Arabidopsis thaliana: one gene and its partners. The protein of the gene in region 1 interacts with the protein of each later gene in a pairwise test. Each region holds a gene or a part of one and is shown in the gene's direction. Other genes may lie near its edges. The genes, in order: HAM3, AT5G45580, HOS10 and AT1G47740.

Region 1 (4,939 bases):
AGAAATAAGGAAATTCCTTTACCAACTTTATATTGTGGTAATTGTTAATTACTTCCCGCCGATCTTGGTTTTTTTTTTTTAATCATAATTATTATTACTTTGGCTCTAATGAGATGAAGAAATCTTCTCTATTTTTCTTTATCCTTATCAGTCCCATGTGATCTCCTAATAATAATTGATCAATTTTTGTCTAATCTAACTAATCATCATCCTAAAATCTAATACAAAATGAACGACGCAATCATTTATATATGGTTACATGCATACAAACTCTAACACGTTATCCTTCAATATAAATTATTGTTTGACAAGATTAATATATTTAGCTGACTTGTTTCTTCCTCTAATTATGGCAAAGCACGATTCTGTTCATCATACGAACTATCCGATTGAGTGGGGTTGGGTGTGTTGCTTGTGATGAAGGGTGCCTTGAGACGAGAGAAAAGAACATGTTTTCACCACGTAACTTACTTCACCCTCACGAAGTTAACACACACATATATTTAGTATTCCAATATACCAAATATTATATTAATATATCATGAAACTTGAAAATGTGTTGGTGTATTATGTATGTCAATAAGAAATAATATTAATACAGTTTCGCGATCATTTCAAGATTTATAATAATTTTGTATAAGAAAGAAAAGTGTGAGAAGTAGTTGTTAGCAAATCACATGGGAACATATAAACTAATTAAATCTTAAAAATGAACATTTTAACTTTTTGTTGTTATATAAAGTAAGTTAACTATCAATAATCATCAAATATTTATGGTACTTAACAAGTATTATAATATGGGACTAAAAATTACTATACAAGAAACTGAACTCTGTGTTTTTTTGTGCGGTCATAATTCGCATATAAAAGATAGATTCAGAATCTGATATTGTTTATACTTTTTTTTTTTTCTTTGATATTGTTTATACTAATGAATTGGTTTGCATAGAAAAGTAAATGCTTTTTCATTATCATGAATACATGATAATGAAACTGTCGCCATTCATTGCAAAATTGGTCCGATTTTAATCTGTCTTCATCAATTACCCACCTCTCTTTCTTGTTGTTTTTTCTGATTGCTTTATTCATTTATTTATTATAGGGTTTTCCATTGGTAGATATATTTATATATGTATATATATGGTGATTGGTGACTTCCATTGTCTGCTCAATAAAGGACTACCACTCGTTCTTTCTCAATCTCTCGTGCATTTAACTTGTCACAGAAGAAACATCATTCACAGATCTTCAATCACTTTTTTCCTTCAAACGAAAAGATGTACCAAAGAAAGTATGTTTTTATATACACGTAAATATATATATAACTCCTTCTTTGTTATAAGTAGTACATGAATGTTTCAGATAATGACGATCATTCGTATCTCGTTAAGTTAAAACAAGAAAAACAAAACAGATATTTTTGATGTAACTCCAATATATACATAGTTTTTGTTTCCACTTTGTTTAGATTTATAAATTTAGATTATGTCCGTAGCAAAAAAAAAAAAAAAAAGGAAACACAAATTAATATAAGCACTGCAATATGTGGTTTAGCTCGTACAATGGATTGGGTGATTTGAGTGGTTAATTTGATAAAGATGATCCAAAAGCTTGTCCAAACCCTAAAACAAACTATTGGGGACAAAGATCACACAAAAGGAAATAACGACAGCACCTTTGAGATAAAACAAAACAAAACAATATCCCAAATATAGTTTGCAAGCCACAAAGTTTTAATCATGAAAATAAATTATAAGAAAACAAAAACATTCCCAATATATTATGACATCCTTTTTTTTTTTTGGGCAAGTATTATGACATCTAAATATACAGTACAACATCAAAAATATGGGGAAAATGTTTTTTTTTTTTAATAGTTTCTAGTAATTCAAGAAGACAAATACAATATTTAAAAATATATCATAACATTTAGTATTTTTGTTTACCATCATGTTCATGTCACTGAAAGGAGTTTGCAAGCCACGCGCGTGATGTAAGAGTGGGGTTGTAATAGAAGACATAGTTAAGATTAGAAAGCAAAGATTAACAAAATGTTGTGTAAGAGAAGCTGATGAATTGTTTAATCAGCTAAGTTAATGACAAAGGCAAAATGATAGGAAACGGAAATAAGAGAGAAAAAGAAAGGAGGAAGCCCACTTTGCCACTTTAATATCTTGCACGCATCCAATATACCTCACCACACCACATCACAACAACGAAGAAGAAGAAGAAGAAGAAGAGCTTCAAGAAGACAAATACACTATTTTTTATCGTCTGCAATGCCCTTACCCTTTGAAGAGTTTCAAGGGAAGGGGATTTCTTGTTTCTCTTCTTTCTCGTCTTCCTTCCCCCAACCACCGTCGTCTCCGCTTTTGAGCCACCGCAAAGCAAGAGGCGGCGAAGAAGAAGAGGAAGAAGTTCCCGCGGCGGAGCCTACCTCTGTTCTGGACTCCCTCATAAGCCCAACCTCTTCCTCCACGGTGTCTTCCTCTCACGGCGGAAACAGCGCCGTCGGAGGCGGCGGCGACGCCACCACCGATGAGCAATGCGGAGCCATTGGGTTGGGTGATTGGGAGGAGCAAGTTCCTCATGACCACGAACAGAGCATTCTCGGACTCATCATGGGAGATTCCACAGATCCCTCTCTTGAACTCAACAGCATTCTCCAAACATCTCCCACCTTCCACGACTCTGACTACTCATCACCCGGTTTCGGAGTCGTCGACACCGGCTTCGGTTTAGACCACCACTCTGTTCCGCCGTCACATGTTTCCGGTCTTCTGATCAACCAAAGTCAAACCCACTACACACAGAATCCTGCGGCTATCTTCTACGGCCACCACCACCATACACCTCCGCCGGCAAAGCGGCTCAACCCTGGTCCCGTGGGGATAACAGAGCAGCTGGTTAAGGCAGCAGAGGTCATAGAGAGCGACACGTGTCTAGCTCAGGGGATATTGGCGCGGCTCAATCAACAGCTCTCTTCTCCCGTCGGGAAGCCATTAGAAAGAGCAGCTTTTTACTTCAAAGAAGCTCTCAATAATCTCCTTCACAACGTCTCCCAAACCCTAAACCCTTATTCCCTCATCTTCAAGATCGCTGCTTACAAATCCTTCTCAGAGATCTCTCCCGTTCTTCAGTTCGCCAACTTTACCTCCAACCAAGCCCTCTTAGAGTCCTTCCATGGCTTCCACCGTCTCCACATCATCGACTTCGATATCGGCTACGGTGGCCAATGGGCTTCCCTCATGCAAGAGCTTGTTCTCCGCGACAACGCCGCTCCTCTCTCCCTCAAGATCACCGTTTTCGCTTCTCCGGCGAACCACGACCAGCTCGAACTTGGCTTCACTCAAGACAACCTCAAGCACTTCGCCTCTGAGATCAACATCTCCCTTGACATCCAAGTTTTGAGCTTAGACCTCCTCGGCTCCATCTCGTGGCCTAACTCGTCGGAGAAAGAAGCTGTCGCCGTTAACATCTCCGCCGCGTCCTTCTCGCACCTCCCTTTGGTCCTCCGTTTCGTGAAGCATCTATCTCCGACGATCATCGTCTGCTCCGACAGAGGATGCGAGAGGACGGATCTGCCCTTCTCTCAACAGCTCGCCCACTCGCTGCACTCACACACCGCTCTCTTCGAATCCCTCGACGCCGTCAACGCCAACCTCGACGCAATGCAGAAGATCGAGAGGTTTCTTATACAGCCGGAGATAGAGAAGCTGGTGTTGGATCGTAGCCGTCCGATAGAAAGGCCGATGATGACGTGGCAAGCGATGTTTCTACAGATGGGTTTCTCACCGGTGACGCACAGTAACTTCACGGAGTCTCAAGCCGAGTGTTTAGTCCAACGGACGCCAGTGAGAGGCTTTCACGTCGAGAAGAAACATAACTCACTTCTCCTATGTTGGCAAAGGACAGAACTCGTCGGAGTTTCAGCATGGAGATGTCGCTCCTCCTGATTTCCACCGGAGTTTCAATTATTAAAAAAATATTTTCCTTAATTCAATTTATCTTAAATGACAAATTTTTAGTTTCTGATTTTATTTTGCTCAGTGCGATGGATTTTTAAATTTAAGTTTCACACAAATATATAAATTTTTGTGAGAAGTTAATTAATTGTCTGATTATCAAACACTTATTGTATAACACATTCAATATATATTAATTGTGGGGATTATTTTTGATCGACTAAATAACGTGATAGAATAATGCTTGGATTAGCTCAATACTATATTTTTCTAATTAAAAATGAATGGGGTGTTGATTTTGATGCGAGGCAGAAAGCTACTGCTCATTATTGTGATTATATGATTATATAATGGTTAGAGTTTGTTGTGGTTTGTGTCTTTGCGAGGGGTCTATTTTTAATTTATAAACATATGTCTCCATGATGTCACATGGGTCTTGTATTATTTTATTTATTTGGACCACAATACATTTTTGTGTGCGCCGTTTCTAACCTTTTTTTTTCTCCGACGAAACAAAGGTTTGCTTTTTCTCCTTTAAATGGTCCATACGCATTACATATATAATGCGCCCATTTGCTTTACGCATTAACTGCATTTCTCTATAGAAATATTTCAGAAACAAACCAAGTGTATACAATACATCAACATGTTTTTTTTGGGGTTTTAATGTGAAGATTTCATTTCAATAAAAAGATTACAAGCTAATCTAAGTAATACAAACCAACATATTTTGGTTTACTCTTTATATTAAAACATCATTTAGGATAATTATTTAAAATATATATTCAAACATCTAAGGTCCTAATTAAGCATTACAAAAGATTTCCGTTTTAGAAACATATCAAGAGTTGATTAAATGGAGAAAGACGACTAAAATTTGTGAGTGAAAAATGACAATATGCCGCAAGTTATTGTCTCTTGTGCAATAAACGTTGGTTGGATACAGACACATTTGATTGAATGTGAATAGTTTA
Region 2 (4,614 bases), on another chromosome or scaffold:
TTCGGGGTTTCATCATTGTGTAAGATTTCTGAGTCAGGTTGAGAAATGTTGAGTGTAAAGAATTTGTTTTGTTAATTGATGCAGTCAAAGAAATCGAAGCGTAGATTGAGACAACCTGGACTAGTACCACCAGCATATGCGAAAGTCATGAAGAAACTCAATTTCTGCAATTGAGAGATAGAGCATGAAACAGTATGATTACGATGAAAGCCAGTCTCTTCCAGTTTTTACCAGATAATTTTGCTCACTGGTACTCAAAAAATCTTTATGTTTCAGTTTAACTTCATTGGAATAAATTGAGTTTTCGAAATATGGTGAAATTGGCGTTAAGACTGATCGGTTTTGAAAAGAGAAACAAGTTAGGCTTATGATTTTTTCTCAAGTACATTTTCCAGCTAAACCAGAAGAAACTTTGTTTCCCGAGTCGGTCCGGTTATATGATATTTCGGTTTAGTCAGATTGTACCGGTGTAAACCGAGCTTTGGATTGAAAAATACACCCATTCTCATGTTTGGTTAGGACAAAACGATTGCGGTCGAACGAAGCGGCCTTGGTTCCACGTGTGTATTTCTTGTGGGTCTCAATTTCAACAAACGTAAAAGACAAAAGAGTAACAAAGCCGTCCACGTGTCCTATGTTGAAATACCATTAAACCCCCACCGTCGAACATGTGAGTTTCAGATTATTGTATTTTCCTTGTCCGACGGCGAATATTCCACGCTGGCAGTCTACGTGACATGCTCGCCCCATGCACTTTGTTTTCGTCATATAAATTCCTTTTTAAAACCATTGAATTATTATTGTTATTGTTTTTAAAAAAATACAAAAAAAGGTTTTATGTCGCTCTTGTCGGAATTTGACACCGCTCATCACTCATCATGTATTGATCGTCGCCGAATACAACGATTTGTTTTTTTTTTAAAACAATTTTTAAAAGGTCACAATACAACAATGAATTTCATCAAATCTTTTATCAAAAAAAAAATGAATTTCATTTTATTTGATTATTCGGAATTGATTTATGTGTAATGTGGAATGTGTAATAACAAATTACTAATTTAGTAATTTGGTCGAAACATTTTCTATGTTTATTTTCTTCTTCTATCTCAAATTGAGACTATCCGACAACATATGAATGATAAATTTATATGATACCTAAATAAAGGAACAACATGGAGAGAGATTTTGATTCATGGATTGTATGAGAATGAGACAAAACCTTTAGTCATAAGTTATCTGATTTAAAAACACATAAATCTAACATATAAATTATTCAAATGATAAAAATGATAATTCCTAGAAACTATATATTCTTTGGACATTAATAATCTAGGTATAGTAAACAAATATCCATGATGCGGGCCATGTTCCTCTCTCCCATGTTACGATTCTGAATATACAAATACCTCTTGATTGATTACAAAAAGAAAAAAAAAAGTACGCAATCATGTATATATTTTATTCTACAACATGACATATACACGGTCTAGCATCTCATAGACACAATTAAAAACGCAAGTAATATGCGGTTGGTAATTGCGTTTGTATGCAATAAATCACTAATCAGTCATAATACAATAAAATTTTGCTATGTTTTGCTTTCATACTATTCACAAAATCGATATAAAAAACGTTAATAATTACTATTTTCTTTTTTATTATCATAATATTTCGATATGGATACAATTTGTTTTTGTATATAAACAAACTTTTAGTGTTGGATCCATAATTTGTATTATACATATATTATAATAATACTATATTAACCGAAGGTTGACGTTAAGTCACGAATAATGTCACCACTTCTCCTCCTCCATCATCATCATCACCGCGACGACTTTTTTAAGTTCCCTTTCTCTCTCTCTGAGATTTTCCTCAAAAAGTTTTCTGATCTCTTTTTCTCCATCAATCATCACACTTCTTTCTATTTATCTCGTCCTCTCGTCGCCGATTATCTCTTTACCCTAATCACTCGCATTCCCATCTTTAACAAAATTTCTTCCACTTTCTTTCCGACCAATATTTCGTAGTTCGATTGCCATTTTTCCTTTTTTTGAGTTTACGCTTCCTCTTTCCGATCACATCCTTGAGAAGAGGAAAATTTCGAAGTTATTTGATTCATTCTTCCGACTGAGTTTCCCGCCATTATTTTGTTTGATCGGAAAATTAAATGGAAAGAGTGAATCTCGGAGGTTTAGGTTACGATAATGGCGGAGTTATGATGACTAGAGATCCCAAACCTAGGCTCAGATGGACAGCCGATCTTCATGATCGCTTCGTCGACGCCGTCGCTAAGCTCGGTGGCGCTGACAGTAAGCTCCTCTTTCCTCCTCTTCTTCAATTGTGATAACCGGTTTCACTTTATAATTCCGGTTCAGTCCGGTTAAATCTACAGTTGATGTATCTGTGTAACAACATTATAGCTCTTTTACTCTTTCTTATTCTTCAATTGAGATAACCGGTTTCACATTATGATTCCGGTTCACTTCGGTTTGGTTGGTTAAGTTAATGCCAGTGATTCAATTGATTCTTCTCTATGTAGCTTGATAACTTCAAATTTAATAGGTTACAAATGTAATTATATCTGTTTGCTTAGTGACATTTGTTATTGGTTTGGTTTTGTAGAAGCAACTCCTAAATCGGTTCTGAAGCTGATGGGATTAAAAGGTTTAACACTGTACCATCTCAAGAGCCATTTACAGGTCCAAATTTATACAAATTTGAGTATATAATAATGTATAATGTCTACAAATTGTTGGTTTATATTCTCTCTTATGATGTGTTTCTATATGCAGAAGTATAGACTTGGTCAACAACAAGGCAAAAAACAAAATAGAACAGAACAAAACAAAGAAAATGCTGGTATGTATGATTATTATCAAGAATTCAAGATTTATATATAATTCAGCTTATAGTAGAGTATAATATATATATACATATGATGTATTTAAGGAATATTAATGTAGATAACATTTGAGAAACCAAAGATTGATTGATTTTTGTATTCACAGGAAGTTCATATGTGCATTTCGACAATTGTTCTCAAGGAGGAATCTCCAATGATTCAAGATTTGATAACCATCAAAGGTATATTATATATGAATTTGCCTTCTCTCGACATAATGGATTTGTAAAGCTTGAGTTTGACATAATGTTAATGAACACACGTAGACAAAGCGGGAATGTACCTTTTGCTGAGGCAATGAGACATCAGGTCGATGCGCAACAACGGTTTCAAGAACAACTCGAGGTAACAAATCTCTTCTTTCTTCTCTCACAACAATGAATAAAAGTTTTAAACCGAAGTTTTTGCGGTGTTATAGGTGCAGAAAAAACTGCAGATGAGAATGGAGGCACAAGGAAAATATTTGTTGACATTACTAGAGAAAGCACAGAAGAGCTTACCTTGTGGTAATGCAGGGGAAACAGACAAGGGTCAATTCTCGGATTTCAATCTCGCACTTTCGGGACTTGTAGGAAGTGATCGTAAGAACGAGAAGGCGGGTTTGGTTACTGATATCTCACACCTTAATGGTGGTGATTCCTCTCAAGAGTTTCGGTTATGTGGAGAACAAGAGAAAATAGAAACCGGAGATGCATGTGTTAAACCAGAATCCGGGTTTGTGCATTTTGATTTGAACTCCAAAAGTGGGTATGATCTCTTGAATTGTGGGAAATATGGGATTGAAGTGAAGCCAAATGTGATTGGAGATAGACTTCAATAGGTTAAAGAGACACTTTCTTTAATTTTTTATTTTATTTTATTATTTCTTTACATTTCTTATAGAATGTTACAAATTTGGCTTCATGGTTTCTCAGTCAAATATCAAGAACATATTTGAAGTCCAAAGTAGTTGATATCAGCTAAATACGGAATAATTGGGTTTAACTAAATAAGTTATTTTTGTGAATAATAAAGTGTAGCATCTTCTCTCGCTTGTTCTGCAAAATTCAAAACCTATTTGCTTGTTTCTTAATTCTTTTCAAAAATATGTCTATGCATCTAATTGTCTCTTTCTAAAAAATGAGGATCAAACAAAGATGAGATTTGATTCTCATGATTGATTTTCTCAGTTAAAAATAAGGGAAATTTAATAGAGTAACCCATATTTTATACATAAAGACCCAAAAGGAATGCTAAAAATATGAGTTATTTGAGTAATAATTATACCTAAATTATCCTTGTTTTCCTTTGCAGAGAAAAACAATATTACAGAAATGCCATTACTATTTAATTCCAGCAAGGCAATAAAACCACATTTATTTACGAAAATGCCATCGTCGTTTTTGATAAATCTGTGGCTCTTGTTGCGACGGATTTGTTATCGATCACAGATTTGTTGGTCAACCACAGATTTTTTACAACAGACTTGTTTTGTACCCCAGACTTTCCTGTGTTATGTTACGCCAGATTTTTTTTTTTTCGCAGATTTTTTAACCGTGACTAATTTGTTTCATATAGTCTCCACAGATTTTATTTAAATTTCAAAAGTAAGAATGTTGAAACCAAATCTGTCACTGATTTGTTTTTCGGACCACAGATTTTTCTTTATGGCGGCAACAGATTTTCTATTTGCACCCAAAAATCTGTTGTGTTATAACAGATTTGTTAAC
Region 3 (4,757 bases), on another chromosome or scaffold:
TAGTTTTTTAATTACAAAACAAACATTTAAAATTTTCTATTTTTATTTTGCAATATTTTCAGATTAATGTAAAATTGTGATTTCAGATATATGTATTTAAAATTTAATCATCAATAAATCTTTTAATTTCTACTTATCTTACATAAGTGGTAATCCATTACCAAGTGAAAGACTTAATTTTTATTATGGTTTTATATGTAAAGTAATGTTTAATTATGGTTTTAAAAATAATAAAACTACTTAATAATATAATTTGTAAAAATAATAATTGATATATTTAAAAATATTGTAGAGATATTAAATTTAATATATGAAAAATATAATAATATTTTAATATTAATAAGATACCTATAAGAGTATCTCACCAATGGAAGCACAATTTTAGTATAAGTTTCTCTACTTAAATTAAATATAAAAATATTAATAATATATTATGAGGTATTGATGTAGTATCTCACCAGTGGAGATGCTCTTAGGTTCGCACCTAATTTTAGAGTTTATTCTGATCTCAAGGGGCGCATACGTGGCCATATATTATTGGCTCTGTGTTTGACAAAACAATTTTTTTTCTCGCTTTTGGCCTTGTTTATTTTTTCATTTCACGATTAATTTTCTTTCTCTTCTCTTGTAAACTCCGGAGGCCGATCGTACGATTGGTGATTATCATCATCACGCGTCGTCTCTTAATAAGATAGTTTAGAGATTGTGTTCGTATCGATTCTTAAAACAGTTTTATAAGTTTCGTTTAACTGATGTTTCGGGCTCGTGGAATTAGGTTGTGCTTGCTCGTAACAGCAGGATAATTTACTGATACCGACATTGATCCCATTGCTTGGCTAGCACAGTTATAGGTGTGTTTTGTGTCTGGATATTATTTAGTAGTTAATTTTTAGATTAAACCAATGTTTCAATTTAGATATCACTAAATTTTTGTGTGATAACAAGTGATGTTGATAAAGATATGTGCACCTTCGTTTTTTGTTTCTAATAAATATGTTTGCAAACAGCCTGAGAGACTTTTTCAAAGGAATCGATTAGGTGTCTGTAGTGAAGCTTTGGCTGCAACTAGGCCTAGAGCTGCTTCAAGGGGTCGTGATATGGAGATAGAGCGTGACTTACTAACCAGGTCAATTTTTACTTGAAAGTGCTTTGAACAATTATAGAATCCATTTCATTGAAATTTCCTGATATGCATACTGATGTGATTTGCTAAACTGTTGCAGTCAGTTCTCTATTGTACGAGAGAATACAAGAGAAAAGTTAAACGTAAGTTCAATCTTGATGTTCTGCAGTTTCTGCTTTGCAGGGTATATGTGACAGGGTGGTTGTTAAGCCCCAAAAACTGTGAGGAAGCTTGCAAGAGTGCAACATCTATATTCTCAATTGGCAGGGAAACTCACGAAGGAAGATGATGAGGTTATATAATACTATTGGAATAGTTTTTACATTTCCAAGCTCTTTTTTTTCTTCGAATTAGCTTTAACCCTTTGTCAAATAAATAAATTAGCATATTTTGTCAAGTAAATATTTATCATATTTATTTTTTTAAGAAACCCACTTAAGGATTCACTAATGGACTAGAAAAAAGTTTAGGATTCAACAAGAACTTTAATTTCAAAAAAATTCAAAATTTATTAGTATAAAAATGTAAGGATTCCATTATTAGGACTCCTTAATGGACATGCTCTAAGGAAAGAAAGAAAAAGAAGGTAACCTACCAAATCTTTTTCACCCACAAAATACAAGATACATACACCAACTTGGTCAAAGTCACTTCCTTTTTATAACACCTCTCTTTAGATCCTAGTCTCACTCTTCTTGTCTCATCACCCACACATGTAACCATCATCATGGGAAGATCACCATGTTGTGAAAAGGCTCACATGAACAAAGGAGCATGGACTAAAGAAGAAGATCAACGTCTTATTGATTATATACGTAATCATGGTGAAGGCTCTTGGCGTTCTCTTCCTAAATCCGTTGGTAAATTTCTCCAAAGTTTTGATTTTTTTTCTTTCAAATTTTTATGTTTCTTGATCTGATGATTTTATCTTTTCTTTAGGGTTGTTGCGTTGTGGAAAAAGTTGTAGATTAAGATGGATTAATTACCTTCGTCCTGATCTTAAACGTGGAAATTTCACTGATGGTGAAGAGCAAATCATTGTCAAACTTCATAGTTTATTTGGCAACAAGTAATTTCCTTTCTCTTAATTATGATTTATGAACAAACCAGTTTTACTGTAAAAAAGTAAAACCAATGGTTAAACCGTGAAAGACTAAAAAAAATGAAGAATCGGGTTTTGGTCATTAGTCCGAACCGGTTCACTGGTTTAATCAGATTTTAAACCGGGTGTTGTGAGTCTTTTTAATACCGGTTTTTGGTGATAACTCAAATCGGATAGCTATTCGATTCACAGTCAAACTGGTTCAACCGGTTTGAAAACACTGGAGAAAACTAATCAAATGGTTTTCTCTTCAGTTTATAAAAATGAATAAATGTACAATTTGGTTTATATACAAGCAGATCCAGTATTGAGAAGATAGCATTCTATGCGTTTTGAATGGAAAAGAAGGTTTTGTAGGCTTCTCTCTCTCTTCTCTCATTTGCATCTTTTAGAGAGAGAAAGCATCTGATCTTCTTTTTCCGGCAACAATAGCTTCTTTAGTGTTTGTTGGCCAGTTCTCTGTCCAGAATCTTATGGCTTTTCCAGCATGGATGTCTGGCTTTTGTCCGGCGATGTTTAGGGCAACGTTTGATTGTCGTGGTTCTTCTGACACTGTTCGGTTCTTTACGACGATGGTCGGTTTGCGTTTGGCTTCCATTGGCTTCTTTAGCGGCGGTAGGCTAGCTAAGGTCTAGAGTTTCACCGCCTATCTTCGGTGTTTCGTCTACCTTTTGGCCGGATTGATTCCGGTTTAGATTTATGTTTTCTTCTCTCGATTTCTTTATATTCAGTTTGATTGAGCTCTTTTGCGTTTCATTGTTAGATCTGGCATATAATTCCTTGAACCTCCTTTGTTTAAAGGGATTAATTTGTTTTCCACGCTTATCGATTTCATTTTTTGAGAACAAATTAAGATGCGGATTAAGGTTTTTTATGCTTATGGGTTGAAACTATTGCAATTGTGGCTGTTTCTCTAACTGATCTATGGAGACGAGTGCTTTTTTGTTCTTTTTTAAGGTGTTGCTGAAAGCTCCATCGGCTTACTCTACGTCGATGTTCTTTAGATTTCAGGAATCAATTGCCTTTGGGAGATCTTTCCTTTCCAAATTTGCTAATGAAGTTTGGTGGATTCTCTAATTAAAAATCAATGGACTTCTCTTGAAGCTCCGGCGGTTTCCGGTGGTTTTAGAGTTCCCTGAGTTGCTAACCAGAACGGTGGTGAATGGCGACAACTAAGGCTTCTTCAGTCAACGTGTTTCAACTTTGTTTGTTAACATCACACGTGGCTTTGTGGTGGAAGGGAATCTTTAATTTACTTCCTCTAAAGGTTTTGTTTCCTGGTTTGGGCTTTCTTTATGGGCCTCTGCTTATAAGTTAGACTTGTTGGTTTTTTATGTAATATGGATGACTATATTTTAGTTGATCCAATGTTGTAAGGTTTAATATGTGTCAAGATTTGTAAGTGGAAGGTTCCACAGTTGTATCTTTACAACATAAGGTTTTAAATAAAGTGCAACACTTATGAGAAAAAAATAATAAAAATACAAGCAGATCCAATTTGACAAAACCAAATAAATAACCGGTTTAATATACCCAAATGACCAAGTTTTAAACCAATGTTCCTTACATTTCGAATGTCTTTTTTTCAGATGGTCTTTGATTGCTGGGAAATTACCGGGAAGAACCGATAATGAGATTAAAAATTATTGGAACACTCATATAAAAAGGAAGCTTCTTAACCGTGGTATTGACCCAAAAACTCACGGTTCGATCATCGAGCCTAAAACGACATCGTTTCATCCCCGAAATGAAGATTTGAAGTCCACGTTTCCCGGTTCTGTTAAACTAAAGATGGAGACTTCTTGTGAAAACTGTGCTTCTACGAGCGGTACGACTACGGACGAGGATTTACGGTTAAGTGTTGATTGTGATTACAGATATGATCATCTGGACAAGGAGCTAAACTTGGACCTAACACTCGGGTACAGTCCGACTCGATTTGTCGGGGTCGGATCTTGTTACTAGCTCGTGTGACGTTTGTGTTTGTAAATTGGGATCACATATGAACCTTGTATGAATTGCTAAACGGGTTCTTTTAATGATAATAAATCTCATAACAAGTTATGTCTTTTTGGAGTTGTGTGCACCAAAGATATTATTTAGGGTTTGATTGGTAACATTGCGTTTAATAATATAGTTGAATAATACAAATTTGCAAAATAAAACTCGCAAAATAACAGTGTATACATATATAATGATATTTACATATATATATTTTTACAGTTATTTTGTGAAATAAATTCTGTAGTTTGGACTTATTTACAAGAAAAGCCACATGTATTTACAAGAAAATTACAATCTTTCCATATATATTCAAAAACAAAATCTGTGAATTTTATTCCACAAAATATGCATAAATCCGATTTATAGCAAATATGTATATTAACATTTTCTATAGCAATAAAAATACTAATTTATAATAATTAAAATATTCACACAAAAGTCATATACACATACAAGAAAAAGAACTAAATCTATCATCATTTAAGCCGTTGCTTTATTTAAATAAAAAAACACAAAAACTTGAAATCA
Region 4 (5,437 bases), on another chromosome or scaffold:
ACAGTTCTCCATTCTTGATCTGATCCCAATGTTAACACCCGACACTCATAAAAAGCATTACCATACGGCATGCACACTACTTTGTGTTTACCATCAACTGGATCGTACCCTAAAGAGACTTTTATATTCTTCCACCTCTCATCCAGCTTGCGTAAAGGTTTGAACTTTCTCATAGTAGGGTTCCAAATTATAGGGGTTGCTGCTTTTCGAAAGCAGATCAAGCCGTGGACCGACTCGGTTAAAGTGGTGACGCAACAACGTTTTGGATAGGTTGTATGGTAACTATCAATAATCTCAGAAGAAGAATAAGAATAAGACTCGTTCGGATTCTGATTGTGTTGAGGAATCGTGAAAACAAAGAACTTGTCACCTTCTTTGAAAAAGAACATGAGATTCGGCCGAGTTTCAAAGGAGTTGGTGAAATATGGAGCGGTGGTGATTGATGACCAAAGCTTTGAAACACAACGAAACCTCACGACAGACTTCGCAGGCAGCCTTGAGAATATCTCCGAGGTTAGATCGAGAGGTAAGGATGATGATGAAGATTTTCCTCTGCTTCTTTTTCTCTGGATATTTTCGGTCTTCTCTTCTCTTTGCTCCATCTTGGAGAAAACCCTAAGTCGGTACTTCCTTTCCACGATTTATGCTTATATGTCTCAACTTTTTCCTTTTCCACTAAATTGGAAAAGGAAAAAATGCTTATAGGTGTTAAACTTCCATTTCCTAAACATCTAGACCGAGATAAAAAAAAATAGGCTCTATCTGACGTGATGTCAATACTTCTTGGAGGGAAATCGACTGTTTTCCCACTAAATTTAATCGTAAAAGATGTACAAAGAAAGACTTAAAATACCAAGACTCTTAACCAGAGTTGATAACAAAACTATACATAAAGCACTAAACCAACTAAACTAATCTAGTGATATTTAATAATATACAAAATTTATACTGGTGTGAGAAATAAATAGATTTTTTTAATAATATTTGAATTGTAATAGTAATCTACATTTTTTCTTTCATTTAATATAAAGAATTTTTGAACAAAAATTCAAATTTAACACATTCTATTTTGCAATATAATTTAACTATTCATTTCATGATAATAAACTGGATATTAATTTTATACACGTCATTAATGAATAATAACAAAACATTTTAGTTATACACACGCTCTATCTTATTGTGTCTAGTTTTACTTTTGATATTTAATTTTTAAATAATAACCCACACACTTTCAATCTTAAATGTTCTAACTCTTATCTCTAAATATTCTTAAATCACTTTTTTTTTTTAATTTAGGAAAGATAAAAAAAGAGGAATGATTGTCGTAGATTCATTTATCTTAATCTTCATGAGTATCTTATCCACTAACCGCGAGTAAGTTATCTCCTCTATTGATGATGTCCTAAACGATATACCATACAAACCAACTATTTTTGAATTTCATTGATATGCATCTCCGGTTTTTGAATAATATCCATCATAATCAAAATATATGTTTATTGGAAGGTTGCTCATTCTCCTGAAAAGAAAATATTAGTTGTTATTTCAAAAATATCAGTTGTACCATATATACTACTTCAAACAGTTATATCAGATTCATAAATGGAGAGTGAGGAGGTCCTAAAATTATCGTTCTTCCAAATCAAAAATTATTATTTATTAGAGTAAAAAGTTGCGCTAAAGGAATTTCTTATCTTGATTCTTTTACATAAAGTATGCTCTGTTAGAAAAAAAAAGAATTCAAAGACGTCAGAAATCAAAATATTCCCAAAAAATAATGGTTTTAGATCTCTCCAATCAACTAATTGAACCAACATCAAAATTTTAAAATACGCGAATAGTATATCAATGCTGTGTATCAAAATCTCATAATCCAAAATACTCTATCCAAACTCGAAGAGAATACACCCATATAACCATATCAATAGAGAATAATACAAAAACTGATTTAAAAGCGTTTTGTAGCGAAACACAATTTTAACCATCCCAAAAGCCTTTTTGGTACTGTTACCAGAGTAAGAGACGATAAAATACAAACAAAAACAAAACATGCAACCAAAAAAAATAAAAAAGAAGAGACAAAGGGGAGAGAGAGAAAAGAAGAGCGAACAAATTCCTTCTTTTTCCCCTCTTTCTCTCTCTCTCCCACTCTCTCATCTTCTTCTTCTTATGATTTTCAACTTATTACAACAACAACAACAACAAAATAATCTTGCAAAGTTTCAGTCTCAGGTGGTTCACAGTTAATGCTACTTGCAATGATGAATCCATCCCAATTTCGTAAGTTAATCTTCTCTTCTGAAAATTGAATTTGGTGTATCAATTCTTACATTATCTTGAAGATTCATCTCTGAATTTCTCAAATTTATGGGGGTTTTTTGTTTGTCGGAATTGCCGGAGAAATTGGAAAAAACGAGATCTTTGAGTAAAGGGTTTGTTTAATCTTTAGTCTTTATTGCTTTCCTTAAGCTAATTTTGGCAGATCTGGAACATAAACCCTAGAACAAGACCAAATCAGTGTCTCCTTACTCTTAGGGATTTTAGTCTCTGTGATACCTTAAATGTGTTTATAAATTGACTGTGCTTAATGGGTCACATTTGATTTGCAATAAAAGTTTCACAATTCTTCCATTTTCAGTAATGTAAGCTCCAGTTTTCAAGATTTACTATTTTGGGGAACTAGTTAGGTTTGTAGGTTTATTAGATCTTAGAAACACTAATGTAATGCTGTTTGTTTGGTACTCTTTAATATTCACTATTCATCTTAATGTGGAATCAAATTTGCTTTTTTTGGTCAGACTCAATTAGTTGGAATGAGTTGTTGAACCATTGACTTGTCTCCTAAGCTCTTACTTAATCTATCTGTATCATCTTCTCCTGTCTATTTCTCTTTATTTAATACATAACTCGTTCATGATTGCATCTGACATGGTAGCAACTCTTTGTGAACAAGACTTGATTTTATAACACTGTAACATGACCACACTTTTTCCTTTTGATCTCTGTATATTTGGGGAAGTAAGGATTTGGTTTAACAATGATACAAAATCACAGTTTAGATGACTCAGTCTTGTCTTTTATCATTAAGATGGAAAAAATGAGACCAATCTTGTCTTGCTTTATTCTAAGATGCATGCTCTATTATATTTTATGCTTTTGTATATATAACTGATTGAAGCCGGCCAATGGAGATTGGTGCTGACTTTTTAAATGAGCTGTTGTTGTATTTCAGCCAACTAGCATAAGATAAAATAAAATAGGAAAATTTTTCATTTCAGTCTCTTAAGTTCAATGAAAACATAATGTGGCACAGAGGTCTTTGCTTTTGTACCTTTCAGAATCTTTTATTGATTGATGATGTTTACATACAGGATAACCTCTACTGAGGCATCCAAATGTTGAACGGAAAAGAAGAGCCTAAGCAGAAGAAAGGTAAGGTTTTGATTTGACATTTGTGTGATTAATGTACTAATTAGAGATCATAATGTGTTTGCTACTTTTCTTATGTGGCTCGGTTCTTCATCGGCAGGTTGGTCAGAGTCGCTGCTAGAATTTCGGTCAGGGTTTGGGGAAAAGATGAAAGTTGTGTCGAAGAAACGTTGGAAATCTCTTGGTCCTCTTCATCTGAAAAGCAAATCAGTTGCACGGTTTTGCTTCTTTTCGAAGTTGAAGTCAAACAACCATGGTCCAGGCCGTGCACCAGTGTATCTCAATGTTTATGACTTGACTCCTATTAACGGATATATCTATTGGGCAGGCCTTGGTATATTTCACTCTGGTGTAGAAGGTAAGCTTTAGGCGCTCGCTTGTGTTTTCTTGTTCATATGGTTGAAGTATCCAAAGATTTGCATCTCTGGTGTACTTATAGTTACTGCTATAGCTAACTCTGAACATTTGGCGTTTACAGTTCATGGAGTAGAGTATGCTTTTGGTGCCCATGATTATGCAACGAGTGGTGTTTTTGAGGTTGAACCAAGGCAATGCCCGGGCTTCAAGTTCAAGAAATCGATATTCATTGGAACCACGAATTTAAACCCAACACAAGTGAGAGAGTTTATGGAAGACATGGCTTGCAGTTACTACGGGAATATGTATCACTTGATTGTTAAGAACTGCAACCATTTCTGCCAGGACGTTTGCTACAAGCTTACCGGGAAAAAGATCCCAAAATGGGTGAATCGGCTTGCACAAATAGGTAACAAATGTTTGTTGCATTTGAGAATTGTTGAAGAAGTCTTATTTGAAAGACTAATTTACTTTTTTTTCTGCAGGTTCTGTGTGCAGCTGCATACTTCCCGAGTCCCTCAAGATAACAGCGGTCTGCCACGATCCAGACGGGCAAATCCCGGAGGAAGAAAACGAAAAGAGAAGTCTTAGAAGCTCATTCAGCTGTTTATCATCCATCTCCATGAGACAAAAACAGCTTTCAACATCATCATTGTTCCTACAATCACCTCTCAGAGGCTGCTTACCTCCTTGGCAACTCAAACGCTCAAAATCTAACAGCAGCTCCTTGAAAGAAAGGTAGACATTCCAACAAAAACCATTGCGGTCTCTCATTCGTTTCGTTAGCAACACAAACCACGATTTATCCTTCTTCTATCTTTGTAATGGAGTTCGAAAACAGATTTCCCGCGCCATCGCTTTTCATTTGATTTTAACAGGCTTTCATAAGCCATTCTTCATCTTCTTTCTGTTTGTATTGCTTCCAAATTTGAATCTTTTCTCATTTTCAAAATCATGTATTGCATCAACGCTGTTTATATCTAAACTAGCTCTCTTAGTTCAAACCACCGAAGAATCAAAACGAAACCTTTATTCGATAAGCAAATACTATAATTCAATCGAAAAACGAACGATGAACATCATCATCATGATCATCAACAAGAGATCCAGTTCTTATGAGTACTAACAATAGCAGAAAACAAACCTGCAGAAGATATCACATTAGGAGCCGATAACACTCCCTTACCATCACGAATATCAGCAATCGTCATCAAACCATCAGCAAGATCCTGCAAAATAGATAAAACCTTCAATGTCTTCTTCTCCTTAATCATCTTCATCTTCTCATCTTCACCATCACAAGCTAATCCTCTCGAAACCGAGATCTCGATCGTCGAAGCAACACAACTCTCTTCATCATTCAATTTCCTCAAATCCCTAATCTTAATCGAAACACTTCCTACATAACCAACCAATTCAGCCCAAGCACTAATCTTCTGAAGCCATTTCGAATGTTTCGCATCGATCAGTCCTGATTTCGTTAACCATATGAATTGTTCAACGAAATAGTATAATCCTTCACCACCGTACGCGATTATGAGTAAGACGAGCTCGTGATTTGAATCCCATCGTGAGGATCTTAATGCGTTGATGTCTTGTACGAATTTTCCGAGACGGAAGGCTTTGCGACTGACTCCGACGCTTGATT

What was found.
Region 2: the proteins of HAM3 (region 1) and AT5G45580 interact in a two-hybrid assay, tested with the Arabidopsis thaliana proteins (one large-scale study listed by BioGRID).
Region 3: the proteins of HAM3 (region 1) and HOS10 interact in a two-hybrid assay, tested with the Arabidopsis thaliana proteins (one large-scale study listed by BioGRID).
Region 4: the proteins of HAM3 (region 1) and AT1G47740 interact in a two-hybrid assay, tested with the Arabidopsis thaliana proteins (one large-scale study listed by BioGRID).

Annotation. Positions count from the first base shown.
Region 1 is NC_003075.7:56,446-61,384, reverse strand, and holds HAM3 (GRAS family transcription factor), read left to right. Parts: upstream 1-1,889; 5' UTR 1,890-2,279; coding exon 2,280-3,956; 3' UTR 3,957-4,245; downstream 4,246-4,939. UniProt on the Arabidopsis thaliana protein: Probable transcription factor involved in plant development.
Region 2 is NC_003076.8:18,480,203-18,484,816, reverse strand, and holds AT5G45580 (Homeodomain-like superfamily protein), read left to right. Parts: upstream 1-1,808; 5' UTR 1,809-2,170; coding exon 2,171-2,312; intron 2,313-2,625; coding exon 2,626-2,702; exon of another isoform or gene 2,703-2,741; coding exon of another isoform or gene 2,742-2,795; coding exon 2,796-2,862; intron 2,863-3,011; coding exon 3,012-3,087; intron 3,088-3,171; coding exon 3,172-3,250; intron 3,251-3,323; coding exon 3,324-3,725; 3' UTR 3,726-4,008; downstream 4,009-4,614. Other genes in the region: AT5G45590 (Ribosomal protein L35), read left to right, coding at 85-174.
Region 3 is NC_003070.9:13,076,076-13,080,832, forward strand, and holds HOS10 (high response to osmotic stress 10), read left to right. Parts: upstream 1-1,814; 5' UTR 1,815-1,850; coding exon 1,851-1,983; intron 1,984-2,062; coding exon 2,063-2,192; intron 2,193-2,340; exon of another isoform or gene 2,341-2,698; coding exon of another isoform or gene 2,699-2,854; intron 2,855-3,229; coding exon of another isoform or gene 3,230-3,306; exon of another isoform or gene 3,307-3,698; intron 3,699-3,814; coding exon 3,815-4,190; downstream 4,191-4,757. Other genes in the region: AT1G35516 (myb-like transcription factor family protein), read left to right, coding at 2,699-2,840, 3,230-3,306. UniProt on the Arabidopsis thaliana protein: Transcription activator.
Region 4 is NC_003070.9:17,564,505-17,569,941, forward strand, and holds AT1G47740 (PPPDE putative thiol peptidase family protein), read left to right. Parts: upstream 1-2,006; 5' UTR 2,007-2,283; intron 2,284-2,296; exon of another isoform or gene 2,297-3,374; 5' UTR 3,375-3,398; coding exon 3,399-3,435; intron 3,436-3,532; coding exon 3,533-3,790; intron 3,791-3,910; coding exon 3,911-4,198; intron 4,199-4,274; coding exon 4,275-4,531; 3' UTR 4,532-4,793; downstream 4,794-5,437. Other genes in the region: AT1G47730 (F-box and associated interaction domains-containing protein), read right to left, coding at 1-602; PEX11A (peroxin 11A), read right to left, coding at 4,884-5,437.